Nothobranchius furzeri: one gene and its partners. The protein of the gene in region 7 purifies or fractionates together with the protein of the main gene of each other region. This does not show direct contact. Links are inferred from orthologs where the notes say so. Each region holds a gene or a part of one and is shown on either strand. Other genes may lie near its edges.

What was found.
Region 1: the proteins of cdc5l (region 7) and cwc15 purify together in Homo sapiens (affinity purification with mass spectrometry; 4 studies listed by BioGRID and IntAct, with this or other methods). This does not show direct contact. The link is inferred for Nothobranchius furzeri from reciprocal best matches to the Homo sapiens genes CDC5L and CWC15.
Region 2: the proteins of cdc5l (region 7) and prpf8 fractionate together in Homo sapiens (co-fractionation; 5 studies listed by BioGRID and IntAct, with this or other methods). This does not show direct contact. The link is inferred for Nothobranchius furzeri from reciprocal best matches to the Homo sapiens genes CDC5L and PRPF8.
Region 3: the proteins of cdc5l (region 7) and top2a purify together in Homo sapiens (affinity purification with mass spectrometry; 3 studies listed by BioGRID, with this or other methods). This does not show direct contact. The link is inferred for Nothobranchius furzeri from reciprocal best matches to the Homo sapiens genes CDC5L and TOP2A.
Region 4: the proteins of cdc5l (region 7) and snrpa purify together in Homo sapiens (affinity purification with mass spectrometry; 4 studies listed by BioGRID and IntAct, with this or other methods). This does not show direct contact. The link is inferred for Nothobranchius furzeri from reciprocal best matches to the Homo sapiens genes CDC5L and SNRPA.
Region 5: the proteins of cdc5l (region 7) and rpa1 purify together in Homo sapiens (affinity purification with mass spectrometry; 3 studies listed by BioGRID, with this or other methods). This does not show direct contact. The link is inferred for Nothobranchius furzeri from reciprocal best matches to the Homo sapiens genes CDC5L and RPA1.
Region 6: the proteins of cdc5l (region 7) and snrpd1 purify together in Homo sapiens (affinity purification with mass spectrometry; 4 studies listed by BioGRID and IntAct, with this or other methods). This does not show direct contact. The link is inferred for Nothobranchius furzeri from reciprocal best matches to the Homo sapiens genes CDC5L and SNRPD1.

What each region holds. Positions count from the first base shown.
Region 1 is NC_091750.1:48,553,258-48,557,191, forward strand, and holds cwc15 (protein CWC15 homolog), read left to right. Parts: upstream 1-1,499; 5' UTR 1,500-1,650; intron 1,651-1,735; exon of another isoform or gene 1,736-1,878; intron 1,879-1,980; 5' UTR 1,981-1,996; coding exon 1,997-2,127; intron 2,128-2,210; coding exon 2,211-2,323; intron 2,324-2,427; coding exon 2,428-2,528; intron 2,529-2,599; coding exon 2,600-2,710; intron 2,711-2,807; coding exon 2,808-2,956; intron 2,957-3,067; coding exon 3,068-3,197; 3' UTR 3,198-3,434; downstream 3,435-3,934. UniProt on the Homo sapiens protein: Involved in pre-mRNA splicing as component of the spliceosome. Component of the PRP19-CDC5L complex that forms an integral part of the spliceosome and is required for activating pre-mRNA splicing.
Region 2 is NC_091753.1:37,707,806-37,712,069, forward strand, and holds the start of prpf8 (pre-mRNA-processing-splicing factor 8), read right to left. Parts: upstream 2,801-4,264; 5' UTR 2,623-2,800; intron 2,108-2,622; 5' UTR 2,096-2,107; coding exon 1,942-2,095; intron 1,724-1,941; coding exon 1,555-1,723; intron 1,461-1,554; coding exon 1,296-1,460; intron 1,176-1,295; coding exon 957-1,175; intron 868-956; coding exon 655-867; intron 518-654; coding exon 392-517; intron 249-391; coding exon 143-248; intron 1-142. UniProt on the Homo sapiens protein: Plays a role in pre-mRNA splicing as core component of precatalytic, catalytic and postcatalytic spliceosomal complexes, both of the predominant U2-type spliceosome and the minor U12-type spliceosome.
Region 3 is NC_091756.1:31,444,746-31,448,195, forward strand, and holds the end of top2a (DNA topoisomerase 2-alpha), read right to left. Parts: coding exon 3,274-3,450; intron 3,186-3,273; coding exon 3,071-3,185; intron 2,211-3,070; coding exon 2,040-2,210; intron 1,823-2,039; coding exon 1,645-1,822; intron 1,565-1,644; coding exon 1,509-1,564; intron 1,409-1,508; coding exon 1,295-1,408; intron 1,211-1,294; coding exon 984-1,210; intron 893-983; coding exon 749-892; 3' UTR 501-748; downstream 1-500. UniProt on the Homo sapiens protein: Key decatenating enzyme that alters DNA topology by binding to two double-stranded DNA molecules, generating a double-stranded break in one of the strands, passing the intact strand through the broken strand, and religating the broken strand.
Region 4 is NC_091753.1:42,104,708-42,108,708, reverse strand, and holds snrpa (U1 small nuclear ribonucleoprotein A), read left to right. Parts: upstream 1-1,363; 5' UTR 1,364-1,490; intron 1,491-1,800; 5' UTR 1,801-1,808; coding exon 1,809-1,884; intron 1,885-1,995; coding exon 1,996-2,168; intron 2,169-2,256; coding exon 2,257-2,415; intron 2,416-2,554; coding exon 2,555-2,719; intron 2,720-2,795; coding exon 2,796-2,884; intron 2,885-3,040; coding exon 3,041-3,200; 3' UTR 3,201-3,501; downstream 3,502-4,001. UniProt on the Homo sapiens protein: Component of the spliceosomal U1 snRNP, which is essential for recognition of the pre-mRNA 5' splice-site and the subsequent assembly of the spliceosome. U1 snRNP is the first snRNP to interact with pre-mRNA.
Region 5 is NC_091753.1:47,659,194-47,663,428, reverse strand, and holds the start of rpa1 (replication protein A 70 kDa DNA-binding subunit), read right to left. Parts: upstream 2,801-4,235; 5' UTR 2,681-2,800; coding exon 2,651-2,680; intron 2,394-2,650; coding exon 2,346-2,393; intron 2,013-2,345; coding exon 1,934-2,012; intron 1,024-1,933; coding exon 915-1,023; intron 832-914; coding exon 743-831; intron 649-742; coding exon 559-648; intron 1-558. Other genes in the region: serpinf2b (serpin peptidase inhibitor, clade F (alpha-2 antiplasmin, pigment epithelium derived factor), member 2b), read right to left, coding at 3,648-3,997, 4,133-4,235. UniProt on the Homo sapiens protein: As part of the heterotrimeric replication protein A complex (RPA/RP-A), binds and stabilizes single-stranded DNA intermediates that form during DNA replication or upon DNA stress.
Region 6 is NC_091759.1:18,894,640-18,898,381, forward strand, and holds snrpd1 (small nuclear ribonucleoprotein Sm D1), read right to left. Parts: upstream 2,370-3,742; 5' UTR 2,246-2,369; coding exon 2,232-2,245; intron 1,687-2,231; coding exon 1,610-1,686; intron 1,277-1,609; coding exon 1,076-1,276; intron 803-1,075; coding exon 726-802; 3' UTR 501-725; downstream 1-500. Other genes in the region: gamma-glutamylcyclotransferase, read right to left, coding at 1-4. UniProt on the Homo sapiens protein: Plays a role in pre-mRNA splicing as a core component of the spliceosomal U1, U2, U4 and U5 small nuclear ribonucleoproteins (snRNPs), the building blocks of the spliceosome.
Region 7 is NC_091752.1:40,116,975-40,119,976, reverse strand, and holds part of cdc5l (cell division cycle 5-like protein), read right to left. Parts: intron 2,020-3,002; coding exon 1,854-2,019; intron 1,758-1,853; coding exon 1,593-1,757; intron 1,518-1,592; coding exon 1,437-1,517; intron 1,346-1,436; coding exon 1,094-1,345; intron 1-1,093.

The DNA of each region.
Region 1 (3,934 bases), on a different chromosome or scaffold from region 7:
CTTATCAGACCGTTGCGATATCATTCCTGCTCAAAGAAAACGTGGCCATTATTTCCTACGACTGTTGCACACTCTGGTGTAACTTAACACCTCTTTAAACTGTAATATTTACACTTTGGTCCGTGGGTTTTTCAAAGTCACCGTCTGAGCGTTCATTCTTATCACATGTTATGAGGTCAGATATGTAAAGGTAAGGGAAGTCAGCAATATTTTCACTTTATCTCTTCATCTTTGTATTTATCTGAATGAGGACAACTTTCAAACAAACTTTGTCAGTAGGTTAGGGTTCAAAATAGGGATGCACAATATATTGGCATTAATATCGGTATTGGTCCGATACATTAAACTGGGCCAATATTAACTGATAATTTTTCCATCTTGTTTTCATTTGTTTATCTGTTTCAGAGGGTGAGGGAGGTGATGTGTAATTGTTTAGTCATGTGACAGTGATTGCAATCATCTAACAGTGTAAACATGTGTGGTGTGTGTACATAACGTCAATTCAGCTTTAATCTTTACAAATCTGTTGATCTTAGAAGCATTAATGTCAGTATATCGGTATTGGCAAACATCGGTTATCGGCCATAACAGCGATATATCAGATATTGGTATCAGCCCCAAAGTTTCATATCGGTGCATTGCACTGAAGATTTCTGTTTATTCAACTTTTCAGGAATATTTATGAGCTTCAGGTAAAAAAAATGTCATAGCAGGAGGTCAGAAAATAATGAAATGCAAACCTGAACCATGATCGCATACAAGACTAAACTGTGACCTTCTTTCATCGAAGGATTGCGTAATTATACCAGTCACTATGGTGTCATGTTGTGAGGTAAGTGTCTAACCCACGACTTACAGAATCAGTTCACAGACTACGGTCGGTTTTAAACAATAAATTAATGGAGAAAACAAGGGAGCAGCATAAATGTAGCTGAGATCTTCAACAGGAGTCGGGTGCAGGAATCTGCAGACAGATGGAGGTTAGATCCAGCTTGAAAAGGGCAACAGGGACTTTAGAAAACTGGGGAAGCACTAAGATTGGTCTGTAATTATCATACTGTAGTAAACAAGATTTGTGGTTTTCTTAATTTGAACACTACATTTTATTGACCTTGTAAACATCCATCCATCCATCCATTGTCTGAACCCGCTTTGTCCACGTAGGGTTGCGGTGGGCTGGTGCCTATCTCCAGCGGTCAATGGGCAATCAGGCGGGATATACCCTGGACAGAAAGCCAGTCCATCGCAGGGCAACACAGAGACACACAGGACAAACAATCATGCACGCACACACACACACACACACACACACACACGCACACACACACACACACACACACACACACACACACACACCTAAGGACTGTGGGAGGAAGCCGGAGTACCCGGAGAGAACCCACGCATGCACAGGGAGAACATGCAAACTCCATGCAGAAAGATCTCAGGCTGGGAAGTGAACCCAAGGCAACAGCTCTAACCACTGCGCAGCCGACCTCGTAAACAATACAAGTAAAATAGGTTCTTGGAGTCCTGTCATGCCGGTCAAAATATGCACGATTTTTCTCCGATTGTTCCTGAACGCGTCTAGTTCCGGAAGTGACGCACCGTTGTGTACAGGAACGTTTCCTTTTCACTTTTGGAAGCAGCTTCGTAAGTGTTGTTGCTTTAAAAACGTATTTAAATTGTGTTGTTTATTTTAAGCTTTGTGTTTCAAACATGTTTACTCTCGTAATTATCTTGCATTGGGTTTTAAAAATAGGAAATGTTCCTTAAATTGCATTGTCACCCACGTTAGCCTGTTAGCAACTGATTAGCGGTGGAAGCTATCAAGCTAACTTGTGTTTTAAACAACATTTAGGAGGAAACTGATCGTTAAAGGTTTTAACTCATATTAACATTAGACTTATTATGATGTATATCTAAAATTACTTATTGTAATTTATGAATTGGTCAGTTATTTTCTGCTTTACGTTTTGCCAGAGCACGGCCATCAAAGATGACTACAGCTGCAAGACCAACATTTGAGCCGGCGAGAGGGGGTAGAGGAAAAGGAGAAGGGGATTTGAGTGCTCTTTCTAAGCAGTATTCCAGTCGGGATCTTCCAGGTCACACCAAGATCAAATACAGGTCAGAACAGTGGGTTCCAGTTTCTCAACCTTAAATATTTATTCGAACTACTTAAACTGTGTTTCTTTCATCTCAATTAAAAGGCAGCCTACCCAGGATGCCCCTGAGGAAGTGCGTGCCCGTGATTTTCGCCGAGAGCTGGAGGAGAGGGAGCGTGTAGCTGCTCGTGAGAAGACCAGAGAGAGGGGACCAAGAGGTGGATTTTTCTACTCATAATAAAGATTAGATCCAAAAAGGATGTATGCAACGGTTTCTGGCATAGTTCCTTTAATCTGTATTGTGTTGATTTTATTTCTTCAGAGCACACCACATCATCTTCTTCATCATCATCATCTTCAAAAAGGCCCAGACTGGATCAGATCCCAGCAGCCAACCTTGATGCCGATGACCCTCTCACTGATGTAAGGATTTACATTGCAATACATCCCAGACTTACACTGGATAAAGTTATTAATCCATTTTTACATTACAGGATGACGAAGACGAGAACTCAGATGAAGAAAGTGATGATGACGACACTGCAGCCCTGCTGGCTGAACTTGAAAAAATTAAGAAAGAGCGAGCTGAAGAGCAAGAACGCAAAGTAAAGAGTTTTAAGTTTGTGTTTGCTTTGGCTATAAATGAAAAGTGATGTTATAGAGGATGGCTTAACCTCCGTGTGCTTTTCTTTTGTTATTTAGGAAAGAGAGCAGAAGGCAGAGGAAGAGAGGATTCGAATGGAAAATATTTTGAGTGGAAATCCATTGATAAATTTAGCAGGACAGCAACAGCAGCAGCAGCAACAACAGCAACAGAGCCAAACTCAGAACACATTCAGAGTCAAGAGAAGGTATTTCTTATGTTCACTTGTTACAGCAAGAATGTTGGTTTTTTGTTTGTTTGCATTTGGAAAAACAAATATATTCCTTCACCACCACTAATAATTCTGATGTACTTCTAGGTGGGATGATGACGTAGTGTTCAAAAACTGCGCCAAAGGAGTGGATGAGGCGCGGAAAGAGAAACGTTTTGTCAACGACACGCTGCGCTCTGAGTTCCACAAGAAATTTATGGAGAAATATGTAAAGTAGAGGACTTTGTGTGTGTGTTTCATTTGATCTTTTTTAATTGAAAATGTTTTAGTTTCAAGCATTTTAATTGCAGCTGGCATTTATTTACAGTCTAACTAATTGGAAACCGTACTGTCTGCAGGTCAGTTGCTGTTTGCGTAAATCATGAAAGTTTGAAGCACATTTCAGAATGTGATTTCAGTATTTCTGTCATGCATTTTTCATTATTTGAATAAACATTGACTTTTTTCCCTTGAATTACTTTGCATAATTTCACAGAAATAACAGATTGTGCATTTTTTAATTTTAAAGGGTAAATTAACTTAAAAAGTTAAGTTTTATAAAAAATGCTAGGGGTGGGGTGCCTAAAATCAGCACAGAAATGGGTATGAAGAGTGTTGCTTTTCATTTAACCCTCCACTCCCTAGTGCTTTTTTTGTGCAAAAGGTAATGGGTTTTGCAAAAGTTCAAGGATGTGGCGAGGGTTAAAAGATACTTTGTAACTTGTTCATATTTTTAGATAATTTTCTTGAGCCAGTATGTGCTAAAATAACCCTTCACAGTGTTAATGAAATGCCACCCAGCCCCTATCGCCCCCTGTGGCCAAAATATCCCACTTGCAGCTTCACAGTTGCTGGTCTGATCTGTTGAACTTAGAAGAACTTGAGCTGACATACCTGGCGCTGCAGTCTAGTTCCAGCAAGTTTCCTGCATGGTTTAGATCATGAACACAGCTGATTTGTTTCATTTAGTGATGA
Region 2 (4,264 bases), on a different chromosome or scaffold from region 7:
ATCACCATTCATTTTAATGTTCCTCTTGTTCTTACGCACAGGCAGGAGGACCAGTGCAAGTGCGCCTTTGTAAGAGGACTTAATCAGAAATAAAACAATATTCCCTTCTGCTCCCTCAGTAAGGATTGTCCACACCACAAACCTTGACAGAATGTCTGTGAGAAATGGGGTTGATCAGTGGGTCAAAGTAGAAAGCAGGAAGATCCGGGTCCTCCGTCTTGATAAACACCACATTCGGTGTGTGGTACCTGCAGAAAGCAAAAATCACTTGTCGGTCATGGCAGTTCTTCCATTTTGGGGAATTCAGTCATTTCATCTCTATTAATCGATTTATCCCAAATAAATGCATTAGTCAGTTTAAGCTTAAGGTCATCACTGGCTTGGTTCCTACCACGTGAGGTGAACGTGGTGTGGCAGGTTATTGTACAGGTAGGGGAAAGCGATCTTGTACTCCGTTCTGATTGGCTGTCGGATGATGATTTTATTGATGTCATTGAACTCGTTCCAGTCTTCATCCCTGAAGGTAAAAAGTAACCATCAGCCTAGTGAGAAAACACTCAGTACCTGTTTTTATTTGACTGTTTAAAGTGATACTGATTCACAAATATTTTTTCCACAGGCAGCATGCTTGATAAATAGATGGGAGCTTCTTACTGGAGGTTTATGTCTCTGACCAGCGGCTCAAACTTTGGTCCTCCTGGGATGGCCATGTTTAAGGCCTTTGAAGTGAAGAAGGCCTTCAGGTCAAACAGGTAAAAGTAGTTAAAGTCCACCAGGTCTGTCATTAGCTGATTGGCCAGACGATACAGCGTTGACATCATGGGCAGCGTGAACTGCCAGCGACGATACGTGGTTCCGTTCACAAACCTGAAAAACAGTTTAATGTTTTAATTATTCAAGTTGTGAAACAACCAAATACAGCAAGTGTTGACATAAAAAGAAAGAAAAATACCCACTTGGAACTGTCTTTGAGGGGCTGGTGTTCGTAGAACCAGTCCACCACAGGAGAGTCCTCCTCTGAATCAAGCTCCATTTGGATGGCCTCCAGAGGTTCCACATCAAGGATGTTATCAGCGTAGTCCAGCGGCGGCTCCTCATCATCGAATGGGGGGAAGCGCATCCTTTTGAAGTGTCGTCGATCACGCTTCTCACGACGCATCATGATCCACATGGTGCTGAAATTTATTAAGGGAATACCATTAATGAATTATACCAAAGTAACATCAATGTGCACGTTCTAATAAGATACTCAAGATTGGCTCAAAACTGAAAAGTAGGAAATGCCAAACACTTACCCCCACTGAGAAATGTAGACCGGCTCTATAACCCAAGGGATTTCGTTCACAAAGGAAATGGCTCCCGTGATGTGGTAGAGCACAGGCACGTCTCGGATTTGTTCCCAGGGCATTGGCATGTTTTCCAGCAGCTTCAGGACCGCGTGGGGCATGTACTTGAGTGCACTGTTCATCAGCAAATAATGCACAAGATAGAATTGGTATTACTGAAAGTATGAAAGCATTTTGCATCAACAAGAAAGAACAAATTATTTTTTACCCTAGGTAAACTCTTTTGTCGTGGCGGAACTTTCTGTTGGTCATGTCGCCATGGTCCCTAATGATTTTGCGAACATGTTCAGGAGGCATGTCTTCCTTCTGGGCGTCCACAAAGCCAAACTTTCTCTTTTCAGCATAACGCTTGGCCTGTAGCTGCTGCCATTTCCTTGCTGTATGATTAGATGCGGAGACAATTCAATTATAAATGATAAATATCTATAGCGCCTCTCAGAGGAAGGACTCGAAAGTGCTTTACATTCATCCATTCACACAGACATTCACTGACAAAGGCGATGATTTGGGGGGAATTTAGGAGATGATTTTATGATCATCTGCAAAGCACAGCCCATCAACCATTTGATTTGCTGAGCTGAAATTAAAAAGGTACCCTTTTCCTGTAGTTTTTCCTCCGTCATGTAGTCTGGAACTGGTGCAGGAGGAACAACCAGGGGAACACCTGGGGGGACAACCGGGGGTACAACAGGAGGCACACCCGGTGGCATCCCAGGAAGGACCCCTCTGTAGGGAAAGACTCCTGCCATGGTGCCTCACTGCTAAATACAAAAGATAAAAAACAATACACACAGGCTTATTAAATTAAAGTTAAACAACGCACTTTAACACAATCTGGCTTTCCGTTAAATCAAACTTAAGTCGTAAAATGTTTAAAGGGTTTGTATTTGAAAGTAAACTATGCCCGCTTACTTCAAAAATATAGTAATTTTTACTTATGAAAAACGAAAACACAACAAACCGGAGAACAGCATATTGTTTGCAATGTTAGCTCATCAATGGCGTACTAAGCGACAACACGCTAAACTTTCAAACCACCAGACTTCACGTAAATTATATCTAATTTTTGCACAGGTCAAGCATTAAAGATTTTTAAGAAAAATAGACTAAAACAGCGAGTCCATTGTCGGCTTTACAAATAATTTGTGAAAGTAATTCGATAACGAATTCCAGGCCCAGCGCGGAGAAGCTCGGCGCTGTTAGCATAGCGGCTAAAGGCTGCACGTTAACCAACAATAAAAGACTAACGAGTATAAAACATCTTACACCACGTTACCTTCGCTCCGACGGCACTTTATGTACTTCAAAATCACCCTCGATCCACTCACAAACAATAACTACAACATTTCTTCTTTTTAGTTGCCGTCTGGTGCTTTTTTCCGCGTTAATAAATTGAGATGGTCGTAGCTAAACCATCGAGCTAAACCAAACCACGACGGTAACCACACGATCAGCCATCAGCGCATCTCTGGTGTAATTCACAAAAGCACCTACGCTAGATATAACAGTATGGTTGCTTGTTGCTTTTCAAGAAGGTTACGTGAAATAATTTGCGCCAACGTTAGACATGCGTAAAGCAGCGATTTCCCGGATGATTTGGGGTAATCATTTCCGGTTCACTACCGACCCTTACAGGATCCTATCTCTCTCTCTCTCTCACACACACACACACACACACACACACACACACACACACACACACACACACACACACACACACACACACACACACACACACACACACACACACACACAGTTACATGCTACTATAAATATGGATAATATAATTTAACAGCTCCTATTCCATTTATTCTTGTAGATGTGTTATTATTATTATTATTATTATTATTATTATTATTACTTTTTTAAAATGATGACCCCACTGTATTGGCGGTCTGTTTTCTATTTTTAGTGTACTGTTGTCCCTCCATTTCCCCCTCCCTCTCTTTCCCTGTTTGTGTTGTATGTCTCTTTTCTCCCTGCCTGTCCACTCTGGTGCGTAGATTAATGTGGTCTAACATGCCACAAACATAATAAAGGCTATTGCACAACAAGAGCAATATCCCACATCCCTCTTGCCGTAGAGCAAAACTGCTCTGGCATCCAGTTCATCCATTCTGTCTGCTTCAACTACCTCGACTTCCAGGAGAACAATCAGGACAACCAGGAAAACAGAACTACCATGATCAAACAATAGTCATTAGGACAACCAGGAAAACAGAACTACCACGATCAAACAATAGTCATTAGGACAACCAGGAAAACAGAACTACCACGATCAAACAGACATCAAAGAGGTACGGTTGAGTTCTATGATGTCATAGATGTACTATTACATACAGCTTCTGGAACTCATTCACTTCAGAATCTCAGCAGGCAACAGATAGGTTTCCTGATTGTCTTCACCCAGTGCTTATTTATTTTAGCTTATTGATTGAATTCTTTAATCAGTAACTATCTTATTATATTGAAAATGAACAGAGCGGATAACACACGTGATTATAGAGATAATAATTTTATATTATTGTATTTCTACAGGAACTAAGTTATATTAGGGATGGGTACCTTTGACATTTGAATCGATCCGGTACTAATTCCCGGTACCTACGAATCGATACCAGTACTTAACGGTACCAATTTTCGATACTTTTGAGTGTTTATTATTTTAATTCTCTTTTATAATTAGATATATATATTTTTTTCTCAATTTATAACCATATTTGATAAATATCACGATAAATAACATACAACTGTTTGTATTTTAACAGCGCCCTTGTAGTTTTATCAGCTGATAATTAAACTGAATCAAACATCTTTACTGTGAACTAAATTTACTGTGTATCTTCATTCCTTTTACCGTCCTTTTTCAATTGATTTTTCCTACTATGAAGTAAGAATTTCCGAGGAGAAATCGAACG
Region 3 (3,450 bases), on a different chromosome or scaffold from region 7:
GTATTCTAACAACGTGGTGATCGTCTTAAAGCCATATTAGGCAACTTTCTCATATTTTTATATCATTTTCTTGAGCCAGTATGTGCCAAAATTAACTTTTACAGGGTTAATGAAATGTCACTCAGACCACCACCACCCGCTGTAGCAAGAGTATCACACTTGCAACTTCAGAGTGCTGGTCCAGTCCTTTGAAATTAGTAAAGTGGAGCCGACACGCCCCGCATTGCAGTCTGCTTCCGGTATGTTTTAGACCATGAATACAGCTTATCTGAGGTTGAACCACTCCTGTGGACACTAATGAAGGTGGGGGAGGCGTTTCAGCTGTTAGATTTGTGTTTAAAAGACAAACGCAAAGCAAGGAAAGAAGTTTCACTTTTGCTTCTACTAAATAGACACTAGGGGGTGCTAAAGCAAGCTAAATGCCAAGTGTACCTTTAAGTTGTACATTATTCTCCACTAGTCTACCTGTTTTACGGACAAAAGAAAAGCTGCTCACACAATTAAAAGAACACACATTTTATTTCAAAAACAGTTAAAGAAAAGCCACTGAAATATTTACATGGCAACGGAAACAACAGGATTATTGCAGTCATTAAAACACTGGATGGATTTTAAGACAAAAACTCGTTAAGAACATTCAACATACAACAAGTGAATTGAATAACAGACTGTCCTACTGAGGCTTCTTCAAGTAGGAGTGGTCTAACAAAACTACCCAGGTAACTCAAAAAACTTTTAAAGACTCACATTAAAAATCAGAGTCTGAATCGATGTTATAGTTGACGGGTTTGCGAGCGCGTGCCGCTTTGTCTCGGGGTGCAGCAGCAACTGGAGAGGCCATTTCCTGGTCCGAAACCAGGAAGCTGTCATCCTCATCCCACTTCTTAGGTTTCTTAAAAAAACAAAACATATTCAGGTGTTAACGTATAAATATACAAAGAAAACCGCAGAAATGAAAACCTTACGGTATAATAGGAACAAACCTTGGGGCCGGCATTTGTTTTGGTTTTGAGCCTCGACATGAGGTTACCCGAATCGCTGTCCGAGTCTTCGTTGACCACCTGCTTTCGTTTTAAAGGTTTCGCTTTTGGAGCTTTTAACTCAGCCTCTGAGTCGTCAGAGTCAAAGGAGGGCAGCTTTGAGGCAGCAGCGGGTTTGGATGCAGGCTTGCGCTTGGTCAGAGCATCAACGATGGACGGCTGCTTCACATCTGGGAGCGGGGGGAAGTTACTAGCACTGCAACTAGGAAACCTGAATGTGTCTTTTATAAACCATAATGAGCCAACTAGTTTACCTGCCGCCTTCTTCTTGGAAGCAGCTGGTTTCTTAGCAACAGCAGCTTTCTTAGGTGCAGCCTCTTTGGTTTTAGACTGAGCTGGAGCCTTGGGAGCAGGATCATCAGAATGAGCTGTAAAATGTTTATAAGGTTAGGTTGGTTAATAAATCACCTGACTTTAAGCTAACACCCGTCTCAGACACGCCAACACCCGTGTCAAACAAACACTTACAACTAGACGTGGCTTTGGTTTGTTTAGATACCGATTTGCTCTTGGTCTCCTTTTTCCTGTGAAGAAAATTCACAAAATGTAAGACAAGTTAAAGAAAACCATCTAAATCCCAACCCTTCCATTGATGTACACTAACGTGGGCTTTGGAGCTTTGGGAGGCGGAGCTGGAGAGTCCTTGTCGCTGTCCGACGCGGCGCTGAGCCCTACGTTAAAGGACGAATCATCGTCGCTGATAACAGCTCTCTGTTTAGGGGCTTTCTTCTCCCCGTCATCAAACTCATCCTCACTGTCCGACATGCTGTACTTCACTGGAGCTAAAAAAAAAAAAAAATAAAAATCACAGAAACAATTGTTTAACAAGTATTTGAAATAAATGTACTATTCTTGTAGAGAAAGAATCCAAGATAACCAGGAGACAATCCCATACAAGGTTAATAAACCAGAAACATTAGCCCTTGATCTATAAATGTTTAGAACGAGTATCTGGTGTTCATCTGTGACTTATTCTGCAGTGTAATAATGCCGACTTACCTTTAGTTCTGCGTTCCACCTTCTCTCTGGGGACAACAACCTCCTCCTCAACATCATCAGCATCCATCTCGCTGTCAGAAAAACCTTCGGACTCATCGGACCATGGATTCTTCTTAGACTTCTTGGGCACCGCCTTAAACTGGAGAGTAGTCTGCTTGCTGGTCTTTGAAGCTGCAGGAAACAGGTGGCTCTTAAGAGTTCAGGTTTTAGGTGTCTTCATGTCATATTGGGCTGAAAACTGAAAGCGTCAGTGTGTAGTTTCCTGGCGCTAGGGGGCAGTGCATACATTTACTGTCGTTTCATATCACTGTGACCGTTGCTAGTAGTTTCTGGATCTGCTCGGGTTCATGTGCCTGCTGATGATGTTAAACTATGGCATTACTGCTCAGCCAAAACATATGGCATCTCTTTCTATTCTGTTCCCTCACATCAGTTTTGGAAAGAGTTTAGCAGTTTGTTATTAAATTAGAGTTTCTTACTGCCTAAATGTTTTTGAACATGGTAACCTAACTTCTGTAAGTCGAACGTTCAGCCAATCATCTAGTGTGACATCAACAGGCAGTGAACCCGAGCCGGCCAGAAGAAAACACGCCCTGCCTCAGAGACGTTAGACTCACACCTGGTGTACTCTAGACCCGATTTTTATGGTTAAATGTTACAAAGCTGCCAATTTTTTTCAATGACGGGACATCATTTTATTCATTTTCAATGTTTCGATGGAAGTTTCCAGAGATTAACGGCAAAAATGCACATTATCTCTTAAAAGTATTGTTTGATCCTTTTTGGATATCGATGTAATCTGGACCGGAGGAGTCAGAACCAAGTTCAGCACGAATAAAAACCAGAACTTATTAGTGAGAACTTGTGAAATCTACCCTTCCACGCCAAGCCTTACATCTTCCTTCAGACTTTAAAACGGTTTACTAACAAGTGAAATTATTAAGCAATCTTTATCTGCCAGTAAATATTCACTAATAAGAAATGAGTTTATTGTAAAACTACAAGTTCTCTGCACCGTGAGTCATTCCCACCTTTCTCCTTGGCATTTGTTTTCTTGCCCAGCCGTGCAACCAAACCAGTTTCCTCCACTGGAGAAATGTTCTCCATGTCCTCGTCAAACTCCATCTTCACTATTAAACTGTCGCTCTGCATTAGGGGAAAACAAAGGTTAAAAGTGATGAACACGGATCAGACACAGAGGAGAAATAGCAGCGCTTTGTGTGGTGGGACAGACCTTGGCCTTCTTGCCTCGCTTGCCTTCCTGCTTCTCTCCTCTCCTCACACAAGCCTTCTTGTTGGCCTCAGCTTTCATAGCGCTGGTGATGCGAGGAACAATGCGGCGGCCCTGCGGCGTGGGCAGAGTCTCCGTTTTCACTTTCACACCTTTTCCTTTTCCAGCAGCCTTCACAGG
Region 4 (4,001 bases), on a different chromosome or scaffold from region 7:
TTTACTAGGGAACATATTTGTTCCTCAGTAGGTACTTGGGAGAAGGCTTCACTTTAAGCTAGACAAAAGCAGTAGGTAATGGTTAAGTACCTAGTAGGTACAGATTAGTACCTTCTAAGTTGGGAGAAGGCTTCACTTTCCATCATCTTGCGATGGACGGATGCCGACAATGGACAAAAAAGTGACAGACGTGTGAAGTCAAGATGAAACAGTGATGTTAAATCACTGTGATGTTGCAAATTATCTGCATTGTTCATGAAGTTTACAAAAAAAAAAAGTCCACAGGCACTACATTCATTTGGGATTTGTTCCTTAATGCGTTCAAAGATTAGTCCCTGAATAAAACTGTTGGGTTTTCACCAGTATGTATTGGTTAACTACCTATTCTTCCCTGCTTCATTACTCATTACTCCCTAAGTCGTTCCCTAGTTACGAAGCATAATTTTACGTACCTTATTGTAAAGTTACTGTTATTCTTCTTAGGTTGTCTACTCTGCCTTTTTTTGACGTCATGTTTTTCCAGTATTTCTGATTTACTGTTCAATTCAATTCAAAAATACTTTATTAATCCCAGGGGGAAACTGATTGCTGTAGTATCTCAGAATAATAATAATAATCAAGTCATCAAAGAGTTATTGTATATTACAATGGCTGTTGGCAGGAAGGATCTCCAGTAGTGTTGCAGCGAAACTGAAGAAGCCTCTGACTGAAGACACTCTTCCGTTGTCGGACAGTCTTGTGAAGAGAATGCTCACGGTTGTCCATAATTTTCTTGATTCTCTGGAGAATCCTTCTTTGCATTATCTCCTCCAGTGGTTCAGAAAGTGCCGAAACTCTGACTGAGTCCTTGAAAGGGCTTGGAGTTCCTCCATCTTGTTGGCCAGTGATCTCACATTGCCCATTATGATCGATGGGAGAGATGGTTTGAATTTCCTCTTTCTCTGTCTCCGTTTTGCTCCCGCTCTGCACCCACGCTTCTTGCGTTTTAGTTAATTTGGGATTTGTCGCGTCAGTTGAGGTATTATTTCAGCCTTTTCAATGTTAAACAGCTGCTCCCGATTGTAAACCAGCTTGTTGCCATGGTTACGCATCATAACAAATGCTCAAAAAGTGAAAAAACCTAAACAATAGCAGCAAAAGTCCTCCAAGCTTCACAGCACCAGAAACAGAAAAGTAAAGTGTCCAAAAAAATACCGTTTTTCTTGAGAAACTAGAAGAAAAAATGTCCAAGAAAAGGCTAAACTTACATATAGTTAACAGAGCTACTCCAACATGCAGCCACCCAGAGCAGCGTAAATAAGAAGAAAAACCATTTTAGTTTTAGCCATTGTAAGTTAAATGGTGTTTTGAGTTTCGCTATTTTGATTTACACCGTGTGGTGGCGGTAATTCACCAGAACGGTTTGGTAACCAACAAATAAGACAAAGAAGAAGAATTTCTTCCTCTTGTTTTCTGGGGAAAAAAGTCTCGGAGCTTTCATTCAATTTCAGGTTGGTACTACGTCAACATCTAACGCGTTTTACATGGTTAAGTGCATTTTAACTGTTGATTTAAAATATTTTTGACAAGCTTAAACGATTTGAGGTAACGTTGGAACTAGTAGAAGTATTTAGGCAGATTAATGACGCTAAATGCTGTTAGTTAGCTTTTAGCTAACACGCTGTTGTTGCCTTCCGCCATGTTTGTTACCATTGCGTTTAGATGCTGGATTTTTGAATGAAATTGGACTTGAAACTGCGTGAAAATAAGCACATGTTTGAGTCTTTATTTTATTTTTAGCTATTTTATTTATTCTCCTAGCCTTAAACATGACCACTCCAGCAGAGGTGCGCCCCAATCACACGATCTACATCAACAACCTAAACGAGAAGATAAAGAAAGATGGTGAGTTTCGCATCATTTTCTTTCCTTTTCTTTGTTTATTTCACGCACAATTAATGCAAAGTCTCCTTTATTATTGTTATTGATTATTTGTTGTTTGTGTGTCTCCCTCAGAGCTGAAGAAGTCCCTTTATGCCATCTTCTCTCAGTTTGGGCAAATTTTGGACATTTTGGTCGCACGAAACCTGAAGATGAAGGGTCAGGCGTTCGTTATCTTTAAAGAGATTAACAGCGCTTCTAATGCATTAAGGTCCATGCAGGGTTTTCCTTTCTATGATAAACCTATGGTACGTCTATTAAACATGTTTAATAATGCACAATTTAGACATTTCTGATGGAAGTACACGTGTGACTCAAATATATACTTTCTTGCAGCGAATCCAGTACTCTAAAATGGATTCGGATATTATAGCTAAGATGAAGGGGACTTTTGTGGAGCGTGACCGTAAAAAAGAAAAGAAGAAGCCCAAACCTGAATCTACAGGAAGTAAAAAAAATGCTGCAGCGATTGCTGGGGTACCTTCTGCAATCCCAGTGAGTGCACTAGGTGTTTTTTACAATCATGGTTAAACAATCTAGATATTTGTTAGTGAAGTAACGGCAGGTTTTAGATGCATTAAGAGTTAAAAGCTCAATTAACATGAATAGAAACTAAACGTTTGTCATTCTTTAGGGAATGCCACCAATGAACCAGGCTCCTCGCATGATGCACATTCCAGGCCAGCCACCTTACATGCCCCCTCCTGGAATGATGCCTCCTCCTGGGATGGCTCCAGGCCAGATTCCTCCTGGTGGGATTGCTCCTGGTCAGATGATGCCAGGACAGATGCCTCAGCAGGTAGCTTGTGTTCTTTTTCCTCACAGAACGTTTTGTTTCCTGTCCTGGTAGTTTAATCCTTACTCTCTTCCCACAGGTTTCAGAAAATCCACCCAACCACATTCTCTTTCTCACCAACCTGCCAGAGGAGACGAACGAACTCATGCTGTCCATGCTCTTCAACCAGTCAGTACTCATTTTCTAGTCATACATTTAAACAGATGCGTAAAAATGGATCAACTTTGACTGTTTTGTGATGCTAACATTGCAAATAATCTGAGAATTTAATTCTCTCAAACTGTTTTTTCTGTAATTGTAACTGAGCTGCTCTGTGCGTTAAAGGTTTCCCGGCTTCAAAGAGGTGCGTCTTGTTCCTGGTCGTCACGACATCGCCTTTGTGGAGTTTGAAAACGAGGTGCAGGCTGGCGCGGCACGAGATGCTCTGCAGGGCTTTAAGATCACTCAGACGAACGCCATGAAGATTTCTTTTGCCAAGAAATAACGCATCTTCCACCAGGTCCTGATTTAATTTGCATACATGTCCGTACATGTAAGTATCTGAGTCAAGTTGCTGTTAAGAAAGTTGGAGTGAAAAACTGGGAGCTCTAACTTTGTGCAATGGTTTGGCTTTAATCTGTAATGCTTGCGCAACTTGGTGTCCACTTCTCTGTTTTTCTGTTTCATAGTTTAAATTTTTTATTATAAACTGTTAAAGCATTGCACCCAGTGTCTGGTCCACCAGACATTGTACCTGGAGCTATTCTTTTTTTTTTATCTTGATTAAAATTTGAATTGGTAAAACACTAGACTGTTCTTTCTTTCGCTGTGTGTGTGTGTGTGTGTGTGTGTGTGTGTGTGTGTGTGTGTGTGTGTGTGTGTGTGTGTGTGTGTGTGTGTGTGTGTGTGTGTGTGTGTGTGTGTGTGTGTGTGTGTGTGTGTGTGTGTGTGTGTGTGTGTGTGTGTGTGTGTGTGTGTGTGTGTGAACAGGTTTGAGCATAAAGGATAACTCAACATTTCCTGTCTGAAATGTCAAAGAAAGGAATTGAGTTTAGAGTTGCATTTGCTTAATCAAGCCAAGCCAACTTTGTTTATAAAGCACTTTAAAAACAGCCCTCGCTGACCAAAGTGCTGAACATAAAAACATAAAAGCATAAAATAGAATACAGTGTAAGGTTAAAAGCACACTAAAATAAAACACAAATCAAATAGAAATCCAAAACGTGTTGAAAGCCAAGCTAAAAAGGTGGGTCTTTAAAGATGATTTAAAAGTTTCCAGTGAGGAGGCCTTTCTAAGATGTGCCGG
Region 5 (4,235 bases), on a different chromosome or scaffold from region 7:
TTCAAAGTGTTCACTCGAGTCCACACACTTTGGCAACCGCTGCACTTCAGGTAATTAAACTCTGAGATCAAGCAGCACACACAGAGAAATGAACAATCCCTCCTGTTGATGAGGAAGATGGCTGCTGCAAGCCTTCACTCCCACATGGCAGATTCCAGGGATGAATGTCTGCTTCGTCACTCGCAGACACAACATAGATGTGGGAGTCTGCAGCTCTGCTACTGGTCTCAGAAATCTGAACGTAAAATTTGTATTTTATTGATCTAATCAACACTCTGACAGTTGGTTGAGTGATTGTCTTTCACAGGGAAAGAACAGGAAACTCCTCCCGATGCACCAACAGGAAGCATAGTTATGGAAACAAAGCACAGATTTTTGTTTCATAAGAGGATAAAAATAAGATTTCTGTACGCAAATGTCAAAATGTCATATAAACCTTAAGATTGCCTAAACCATCAGAAAGCTGCTGCCATCTAGTGGACATTTTGTTTTTTGTCTATGGTCAGCTTTTTCAGCAGAAAAATTAAATAAATATAAAAGACAAAAGCTTGAACTTACCGTCGTTCTTGTTTTGTGCCTGCAGTGGAGGTCTGACTTCGGGGCCTGGAGCTGCAGGGACGGGGCCAGACTGCTGGCCTTTATTCTGACCTACAAACAGAACATCAAGTTACCACAAGCCTATGGCAACACGATGACTCAATAATGAGTCACCTCTGTTTCTCTCACTGCCATTGAGTTTTACCATCAAAGTAAGGAGTAGGGTCTCCAATTTTACCACTGACTTCTTCAGCAGGTTTGATCAATTCGGTTTCCAAAATGATGACCACTCGGCTGCAATCAGATTTTACATCAATTCTTGTTCATTTTTGCTTTTTAAATAGCAAATTTTTATATTTGCTACGAAATCTGCATACCGTCCATCCTTCAGAATATTGGTCACATGCTTCTTCAGAATGCACACACAGTTTGGGGCGAGGATGTTTTCCTCAGCCAAGTAGTTCAACTGAGTGGAAAGCATAAAGGCTGCAAATGATGAGGGAAAATGTTTGGTTAGCTTTACGTTAACAAAAAAAAAAAAACTCACAATGTGCACCTAAACCCTAGCCTAGAGAACTAGAAAAACTGTAGGAGTATCTGAAGATTTATGCTCTGCGGGTTGGTCTAGCAAGAGTTGAGGAGTTTAGAACCACAGCGGTGACAAAGCAAAACAAAGATGGCATCGGCTCAGGAACGGCACTCTTTTTAAAAGGTGTTGGTATCAAATTTGGGCGACTTAGACTTGTGCAGCAGGTGGAGGTACCTCTTCGATAATGTATGGCAGACTGCCCTGTCGAGCGATTTCCGTTGCTGTCAATACGTCACGTTGTTTGTTGCTCTGATTGGTGCTAGCACTGTAGTATTGCAAGCAGAGACCGTTTAAAAAACAAAATGTAGATTCTGCCCCAAGACCGAGCTCAGTCTATGGGTTGTAGCCAGACTATATATCAACATAGCTTGCCAGGCTACCTAAAACCTTTAATGATTGCAAAATAAAACCACAAAACAAATATGCATTCCAGATGTCATTTAAATGTTAATCATGTTGTCGTTTAAAACGCAAATAGATGTGCTGCTCATCACACGATTCGTACACCAACAGTGCTTCAGGGTAAAATTTTCCCTGACAAAGTAAACAAAGGAGATAGTGCCAATTTTTTCCACTAACGAACAAATGTCAAGGTCACAGCTGCCCTGACCTTCTAATTATTTATTTACCAAGAACTATCATGCAGGAAAAATGAGATTTGAGTCTATGAAACTAGACAAATTAAAATTGCAAACGGAGTAGCTTCTCTCTAAAGATGCAGTCTCACTAACACTTTCCATTCAAAAATGATTAAATGCCAAACCCAGGGTCAGAGACTGGTTTGATCCAAATGTATATCATACTTACATGACAGTGTGTGGCGTCCATCACTCATCATCACCCGAAAGCGAGGTATCCCACTTCCTCCCTCTATTTTGCGAATGTTCTAAAAGTTAAAGAAAAAAATAATAAACTCTTGCAATTTAATCAAGAAATCTGCAAAAGCATTTAACTAATGCCTGAGTTACTGATTTGTTGGAATTTGCTGAAGCAGCGTTCTGAAAAAGAGTGTGGCGTTTAATGCCTCTTCTAAAATATATAACGCACAAAAAGCAGCTTCACAAGTTTACACAGCTTTCAATACGTCATGACGGTTAAACAAAGAGGCCGCATGTGATGCGGGCCTTAACCGTGTCAGAACTAAAAACGAAGCCCAAAAGTAAACATGCGTTTAAGAGCATGATACGTTTAAATGGTATTTCACGTTTTCGTTATTTACCACCAGCTGAAGAACTGCGTCATTCCAACCGGAGCCATTAGCTAAAGCCTGCAAACAAAAACAATTAACTTAATGTAACACAGCTGTTTTGTTTTAACAGTAGAAGCATTCATTTTTTACAAAAGATTTCTAAACACATGTACGCTACTTCAAATTATGTTTCAATTTACACCAGCTTCAGTCAATATTAGTTTTTAAGTTTCCATTAACCTCAATGTAAAAAATGTCGCGCGAATGCAAACACATAGTAGGAAAATGCCTACAAAAACACGTTAGCATTTTAGTTGAACTGACATTAACTTTACCTCAATCGCGCCTTCTGAAAGTTTAGGCATGTCTGACGATTTTGCGTTGAAACTGAAGATTACTTTAGCAACTGCTAGACAGACGGTTTTCTACAACTATCACTGCAAACAGCTTGAAGTTTATGCCTGTGGCGCCAACGGCTCAGGCATCGCGCGCTCAATTTGTCGAGTTCCGTGTTGTCGGGTTCCGTTTCCGGTAACAGATCTGACTTCAGTTTCCAAAATCTGTCAGAACAGCAAGGCTTAGAGGTAAATTCTCACTAAACTGACCGCAGACCAGCACTGAATTTCTCAGCGCAAAACTGAGTGACGTTTGTTGCGATGCGTTCAATGACATTTGAAAACAGGAAACACCCGATTTTGTGTTTTCAGCGATTTTTAAAAAACACGGAATGTTAGTATTATGCACAGTTTTACTCGTCGCATAATAACTATATTTGGAGGGGGAAAATTATATTCTAAGAAATTAACTAATTTTACCGTAAGTCATATTACAATAATATTGTAACTCCTAAAATGTGTCACATGGCAAGATTTGAAAAGTATTTTTAAATAACCATTTGATTTAAATGTCTCAGCAAATTAATTCATATCAATACTGATTTAGATAAATTGAATTGATTTAAGTACACAAGAAAACAAATTAAAATATTTTAAGAAAATGCTCAGTCATGCAGTAATGCTCAAACATATGATATTTTAGACTTTACATGTTGACACATTCCACATGTGGTGGAAAATTAAACCATCAAGTAACATGACAGGGACTTTTTTGTGAATTTAATGTTATCGTTTAATTTCTTGACCATCACATCTTATACAATACAGTCATGTAAAATGAATATTCCTCTTAAAATGACTATTGGGCTTTAAAGCATAATTATTTCCTTATGAAACAAACAAAACGTTTTTATTTTCACACATATTTTGATCCAGACTAGTCTGTACAACTGCTAACTCCTAGCTTTCTCTCAAGAAATGGACAGATTTGTATTTCCTATTTAGGACCCCCAAATGAGCTCATGTGATCTTTGTCATATGAGAAACCCATTTTATCTTTGCTTCCAAACTGTCCTTTCTGCAGGATAGGGGCTCCAGGATTAGGATTGTTGATGACACCCATGAAGATTGGTATTTGAGTTACGTCATCCATAAGCACAAAAAAGAAGGGCTTAGTGAGGTGGAAAACTGGAATTGCTGCCCGTGAGATAACTATGTTGGTGGCTGCAGCAGCTTCTGCACCATCCTCATTTATTTCCATGCTTGACTTGTGCATCACACTGGACACCAGCAGGGGGCCGTCTGCAATATCAGCCAAGTTAGGATTCAGGAACATCTCCCCGAGGCCTGAAAAATATAAAAAATAAAAATTACATTTTGAGGCTCAGTTAAGAAAATAACAGTGGTTTTCCCAAATTTTTACTTAAAATTGACATTTATTAAAATGTATCTGCAACATTAATAAAACATCTAAAACTTTACCTAGTTTGGTAAGAACCTCCTGTAACTCTTGAGAATACTCCAGTTTGAATTTTGGAACTTTGACCTGAACGGCCGTCTCTTTGGGCAGGCGTTCGTATAAGTC
Region 6 (3,742 bases), on a different chromosome or scaffold from region 7:
ACATTGTGATAAAAATACTCCTGCTCGAAAAGAACCTGGTGCCTTCGACATGTGACGAATATGTTAAAAGATGATCGTTTAATATAAAATAACTAGCTTTGGGCAATGATTTACGTCATTCCACGAACCTCTACGTTAGCCCGGCAAGCCATCCTATAGGCTACCATCTACCAGGTCACTTTTCCTACACCGCCATCTAGCGGTGACTTTGGTCCCCGGTGTAATGTAAAACAACGTTCCCCCACCTACATGTGCAGTTTTACCAATTATCACAACTGATGTGAGAAACTGCACCTAAAAGTTGACTAAATAAACAGTTTTGCTTTATTTTGTCAACTGTAGTGGGATAAAGGTCTGATGACTAAATAATAATTTCATAAAATACATTTTTATTTTAGAGCCTGGCCTGCCAGACTCATCTGTGTAACTTTATACACAAGGAAGCGTGGGGCTGGCTAGTACACCAGTAGCATTGGGATCTGATTGGGACAACACAGTAGTTAATGATGCTAGTTTATGTGCTGACACTTTATTCAGTATTAAAAACCAACACAAAGAAGTCAGAGTAATTTGTCCTCTTAACCAGAAGTTTAATGTACAAAAAAAAAAGTCCAACTAAAAAGCACACAGAAATTCACAAAACGTTTCTGCTTTAATGAAGCAAAGGAAAAAAAAAATCCTGTACAAACAGTGAAGTGTTAGGAATCAACAGAACAGCCTTGCGATCATCTCCTTGGTCCACCTCGTCCCCGTCCCCTTCCTCTCCCACGTCCCCGTCCCCTGCCTCGTCCCCGTCCAGCCACTGAGGAGACAGATGAGCAGCATCAGCACAAGTGTCACAAACACCATATTGCTCATTTAGCATCTGGTCCTTTAAACCACTCCTTAAATTATGTCGTACAGTTAATGTTACAATTTAGTTCTTTTAATATAAACCCATGCAGAAACCTGTGCAAACACACCAGTTACATCACTGTGAAAACCTTTTTGTTCACGCAAAGGAGAATTCAGATTCACTTTCTAAAAAAAACACCTTAAGATAAAATTCAACTCAACATATCTTATGCATTTTCACCTTTCTCACCTGCTTCTCTCTTCTTGGACTTGATCTTTGGCTCGATGTCAACCAGCAAGGTGTCCAGAGGGAGGCTGTCTGGGAGGATGAAGTAGCGAATATTGTTGCCGCGGATACTCAGCGACTCCAGCTGAGTGGGCTCCCTGTTTTTTAGGGTCATTTTTACCGCCTTCAGGTGAGTGTTCATGCTCACATCAACACCTGAAAAACAGAGAGGAGGGATGAAACACCAGCCATAAGTACATCTGGCACTTGAGTTTAGGATTAATTTTACAGATTAGAAAATATTTTAATTTGCAGGTTGTGTGTGTGCTTGTCTAGGGTTTGTTAAACATAAAAAAATCCCATCAAATAGGATTAAATAATACAAAAACATACATTGTGCAGATTTATCTGTACTAAAGTCTGACTATGAGGATGAAAGCACAGCTGTGGGTATTAATCTACTTAATGCATACAAATATATGTCATTAGTATTGAAATTAAAGAGCTTCAGCTGACTCCTGGCTTATCTGACCACCTTTATGAGCTCACCTGTGATGGTGCCGTGAACCTGGGTGCCATTTTTCAGCTCAATGGTTACGGTTTCATGGCTGAGCTTCATCAAAAACCTGTGGGCATCATTGCACACGATGACTGAGTGAAAACATCACAACGTAATTGGGACATTTCTCGCAGAGGCTAGATAGTAGCTTAGCTTTAGCTATCTAGTTAGCCACCGATGGCTATTAGGTGACTTTTAAAGCGTTTGAAACAATAAAAACACTGATTATCCACCAGTTTAACAGCTAAACTAAATATTTACAAAATGAACTCTAACAAATTATGTTAAAACCCCATTTTGAGCCGCTTTAGTTGATTGACAAGCTAATGCTACAACGGTTGAATGAGTTAACGTCTAGCCTAATATTTTTACTTATTGAAATAGAAATGTACTTAAAGTAGACGTTCATCTATGTTGATAATTAAAACTGTGCGTAGGAACGTGTTTTAAACCCTCAGCGGTCGCCGTAACGTCGCTCAGGATCCATTACATTTTTCCACTTCCCGCCTCATCACCGTTTAATCAAATCCCAATCCATCCGGCCACATCACTTTCATTTGATCAGTTTACGTTAATTCTCCGGTTAATCCGGGACCTCCCGCTGCCGCCTACCTGACTAGTTTCATGATGATGGAAAACAGTAGAGAAAAATCCTCCACCGAAGACAAAAATTACAGCGATCGAGTGAAAACACAGGCCGCTGTTGTATTCGAAACGTTCAGGGATGTGACGTCACTAAAAGGCGACAACAAAGACGAGGGGGTGTAATTACCGCCATCTACTGGTGGAATTGTGATCCGTTCTAACACTTTTGTTTTATTTTTCTGTGCAACATGTTTTACAGTAGTGTTAAAATCCACAATCTTTATTTTACTACTAATTTATTGGAATCTGGCAGTTAAAAGGTCAAATATCCAAAACAAAGATCCCTAAATGATCAATATTTAGGAAGATCACTACCGTTACCTACTGCTGGATTCGTGATCTGCAGAATTTGCAACCAAAAGGTCAAAACGGTGTTTATGTGCAACATGTGTTAAAGTCGTAGTAAAATTTACATTTTTACTGATTTATCAAAATCTGGAAGATGAAAAAAGGTAAAATATCCACAACAATTAACCCTAACTGATCAAGACCTAATTCATTCAACAGATCAGGAGACAACTTCAGAGAACTTGTCGCAGTTGAATAAAACCACAAAGCAGCACTTTCAGCTCATTTTATTAAGAGTAAACTCTGCACCGATACTTAAGAGATTTGGCCACACATCAAATCTGTCTTCTTGAGACCTGCTGGGAATGTATCAAGTATAATCAATGAGAGTGCTTTTTTTTATTCCAAAGATGTAGGCTGAGACCAATAAATCATAAAGTGTGAAGCACAAAAAGAAAAACGGCACAAGGCCATTAAACTCAGCATTATTCCACTTCTAATAATAATAAAAATAAATAAAACCGTCATCCTCTCTGTGTGTTGCCTGCACATGATTGACGCAACACGTTATTAATATTCTGGAGCAGAAAAAGTCTCGACTCAGTGCATCTGCTGTTGAACTCTAGAAAAGAAAATCTAATTATGCAGTGGTTTAAAACAGAAGTCATGAAATATTACAGCAGGTGAGCACGTGTTCCTGGAAATCTTTCATGTGGAAACAGATAATGTCCTTTTGGGGTTTCTCTCCACCTTAACCATAGCAACTGAGTAATCGATCTTCAGATCAGCAGTCGTGTTTTATTCTCCTGTAAACGTTACAGCGGGGCTCAAACAGGAAGTCACACGTCCAACAAAATAAAATCAAAGGTCAGCTGGACGTGAACATTCAGATAAAGGGGTTAAACGTCGGGCCGCTGCGCCATGAAATGTTTTAGGCTTTTAAACTTTGATTTAGCGTGTTTAAAAAACAATGTTAACAAATAGAAACTAAAGAAGGCACACACACCAAAAGAAGATCCTCACTATAATAAGGAAGTGATGATAAATGATTTATTTCTAAAGCAGCTAATAAATACGAGTCAAACGATGCTGTAGTGTGAACGCCGATATGCTAAAAGCGTATAAACCTAAAGTGACTGAAAATGAAGGTAAACAGCTCAGAGATGATAAAATGAATTTCGTCGACTTGT
Region 7 (3,002 bases):
CTGCTGGACATCCATCCTTCTCATCATCCTGTACACATAACGAAACTCACTAAACTACAGAGAAGTAACAATCCATCACAAATTGCTCCAATATCTAAAGTTTTGCCATTATTTCTGTCTTTCACTGTTTACTGTCCAACATGACTAGGATTGGACACCGCTTGAATCCGAGCGGTTTTGAATCCGGTTCCTATCGATTCCCGATTCTGACAGGATCTAAAAACATCTAAACTTTAGCATGAATTTTTATTCTGTGAACAATAACATCACCTTCATTCAGACAAAAACATGTTTTCAAGAAAAAGACTTGCAGCACAACCAGTGTTTGTTTCCGACCACAACCAAAGCCTGGGAACGATTTTTTATTATATTTATTGTCCGTATCGACTCCTGGTGGCCAGAACCCAGCGTCAGTCATCCACCACAGAGAAAGGCTGCTCTAGCATGATGACTTTAAATATTTTAAAGGTTATTGCTCAGCCGTCTGACGAGTGTGAGTGGCTGCATTTGACTGTTGATGCTCCGTGTGCGTTTTTAATTCTGCAGTGAGCCGAACTCACCTCACACCGCCCGCAGTTTGTTCTTTAAAACTTGTATTATATCCACCATGTTGACGCATTTTAACGAGCTTCCTCCGCGCCATCTATTTACATTTTTGCCACTGTGCGCCTGTGCAGTGTGAGGGAGGGGGGGGGGGGGGACGCAATGCTGTTCTCAAGGTCTATGCGGGCTGCAGAGAAGGAGCGAAAGGTGGTGTGATCGGCTTTGAAAGGCGTTGATTAGATCAGAGATCGCCCACAGATTCTTCCAGTCAGCAGCCTGGGAATCGAAACTAGAAATCGAAATAAAGCAGTTTGAATGATTCTGGAAAAACTGACCGTCCCGGTTCTAACAGATGCTCAACGCCCAACCCTACACATGACATCATCGCTTGTAGACTGTCCGAGGCTGTCTTTGGTTGTGAGACGGCTCAAAAAGCTGTCACAGAGCCGGTCACACTGGGCAGCAACACCGTTTTTGTTACAATTCTGCCCACGATGAGGGATTTGCCTAAGATGGCCGAAAATGGTTTAACAGAAGAGGTGTGTATGACCTGCTCCATCTCCTCTGTGCTGACTGGCTTGTAGGAGTGGGTTTCCAGGTAGGAGATGTGTGAGGCGTTGTTGGACGTAGACGTGGGGCCTTTGGTTTTACCACGCTGCAGCTGATTGGCCATGTTGACTGATGGATGGTGGAGGCAGTCGTGGTGCAGCATGGTGATCATTTCCTGTTTGATGAGCTCCTCTGCGATCTGGAGGTCAGAGAGTGGCTCCATGGAGGCGGGACGGAGGACAGACTCATTTACCTGCAGAGATGTAATGATGCAGAGGTAAATAAAGGCTTGTCGGGTCTTATTAGTGCTACGTGCCACAGGGCACTCTGCATTCGGGTCGAACCTCAGTAGGTCTGGGGAGACTCCTCTGTACTGCCGTGTGCCGTAGCTTCAGCTCCTTCTCCCGTTCTGCATCCCGCTGAGCCTGAAAATGCACGCGAGAATACAGTAAACACCACTGATGCCATTATAAACTACATCAGAATGAATGTGTGCCTACCTGTTTGCGTGCCTCCACATCTGCAGAGTCCTCGATATATCCCGTCTCCATCTCCGTTTCTTCAAGTTCTTTTTCTGCGTTTTCAGGAAGAACAATTTCAAAGTCGTTCTTAGGGACAGGAAGTGACATCAGCCCTTGCCTTAGCTGCTGCAGGCTTTCCTTGTGCTGTTAAAGAAAAGAAGAAGTGATTATAAACATAATTAAATATTTGGTTTTGGATTTATTGATTCAATGTGACACTTAAATGACTTGTGTTTTTACTAGATGTTTGGTGAATGTTGAGTCAGCCAGTTGCTCCTCGGTGTTTATGTTGAGTTTGTCTCTCAGCGGCGTCCGGCCGGGCGTCAAACCTGGAGTACCACGTGGAGTCATCCCACCCCCAGCTAGAGGCGTCATCCCATCTGAGGCCTGACCGGGTCCAGGAGTTCTGCAGGAGATCACAAGACCATAAATGTTGACCTTTTTAGTGGATTTGAGACAATTAAGTCAGCAGAAACATTAAGAGCAAAGTGAGATCAGTCTAGTTTAAAGGTGCATTATGTAGAAATGAAGTCAAAATGGCATCCTGTGGTAAAATGTAGTTACTGCAACCACTTTAAACAACTCTGGAGCTTTTTGCCAGCCATCATCATATTACAATTGTCGGTGCTGCAGTAATAGCTCGCAGGAGACACGACACCCCCACCCTCACTGATGTAGTTACATCCAGGGTTTCCCTTACATAGGCGTAGCTGTGGCGGCCCGCCACGGCTGAAATCCCACCACCACGCCTACAAGATCCCAAGTTTTTTTTTTTTTGCGCTGTTTCCCACAGAAACAGCGGGAACTACTATGTTGTCACTTGTGATCACAGCCAGCGGGCGGCAAGGGGGAGCGGGCAGGGCAAGGTGAAATTACAGCATAAGTTACTGAGTTTAAAATTAGAAAGGTAGCAGTGGATATAATGCCTTTTGGTTTACATGTTTCAATAGCATTAAGATAAACGAGTGTTGACGATCTTGACAGGGTTTCCTCCAGTGCTTATTAGGCCAGATTCTCCCCCCACCAGGCTAAGCATCACTTATTCATGTAAAATTTATTTATTTTTTCATGTCTGACTTTAACTGCATCTAATACTGTATTACGGCGTGAGCGCAACAGCGACAACTTAAGATCGATGCGTGAGCAGCCTGAGAGGTCGGGTGTTTTCATCTGAACTCTTAAAACCTCCAGCAGGCTACGCTGCACTATTGACGCGTTAGCGCGCGGCGCTTAGCGATGTGACATGTCTCGGAGAAAGCGTAAAAACACGTTGGACGCTTCTTCTGAAGCGGGAAAATAACACCTCTTCTTAAACAGAGCATGACGTTGCCTCGACTCGTTCACCCTCTGCCGAGCCGGTGTCGATAACATTGACCCAGCACAGCCACT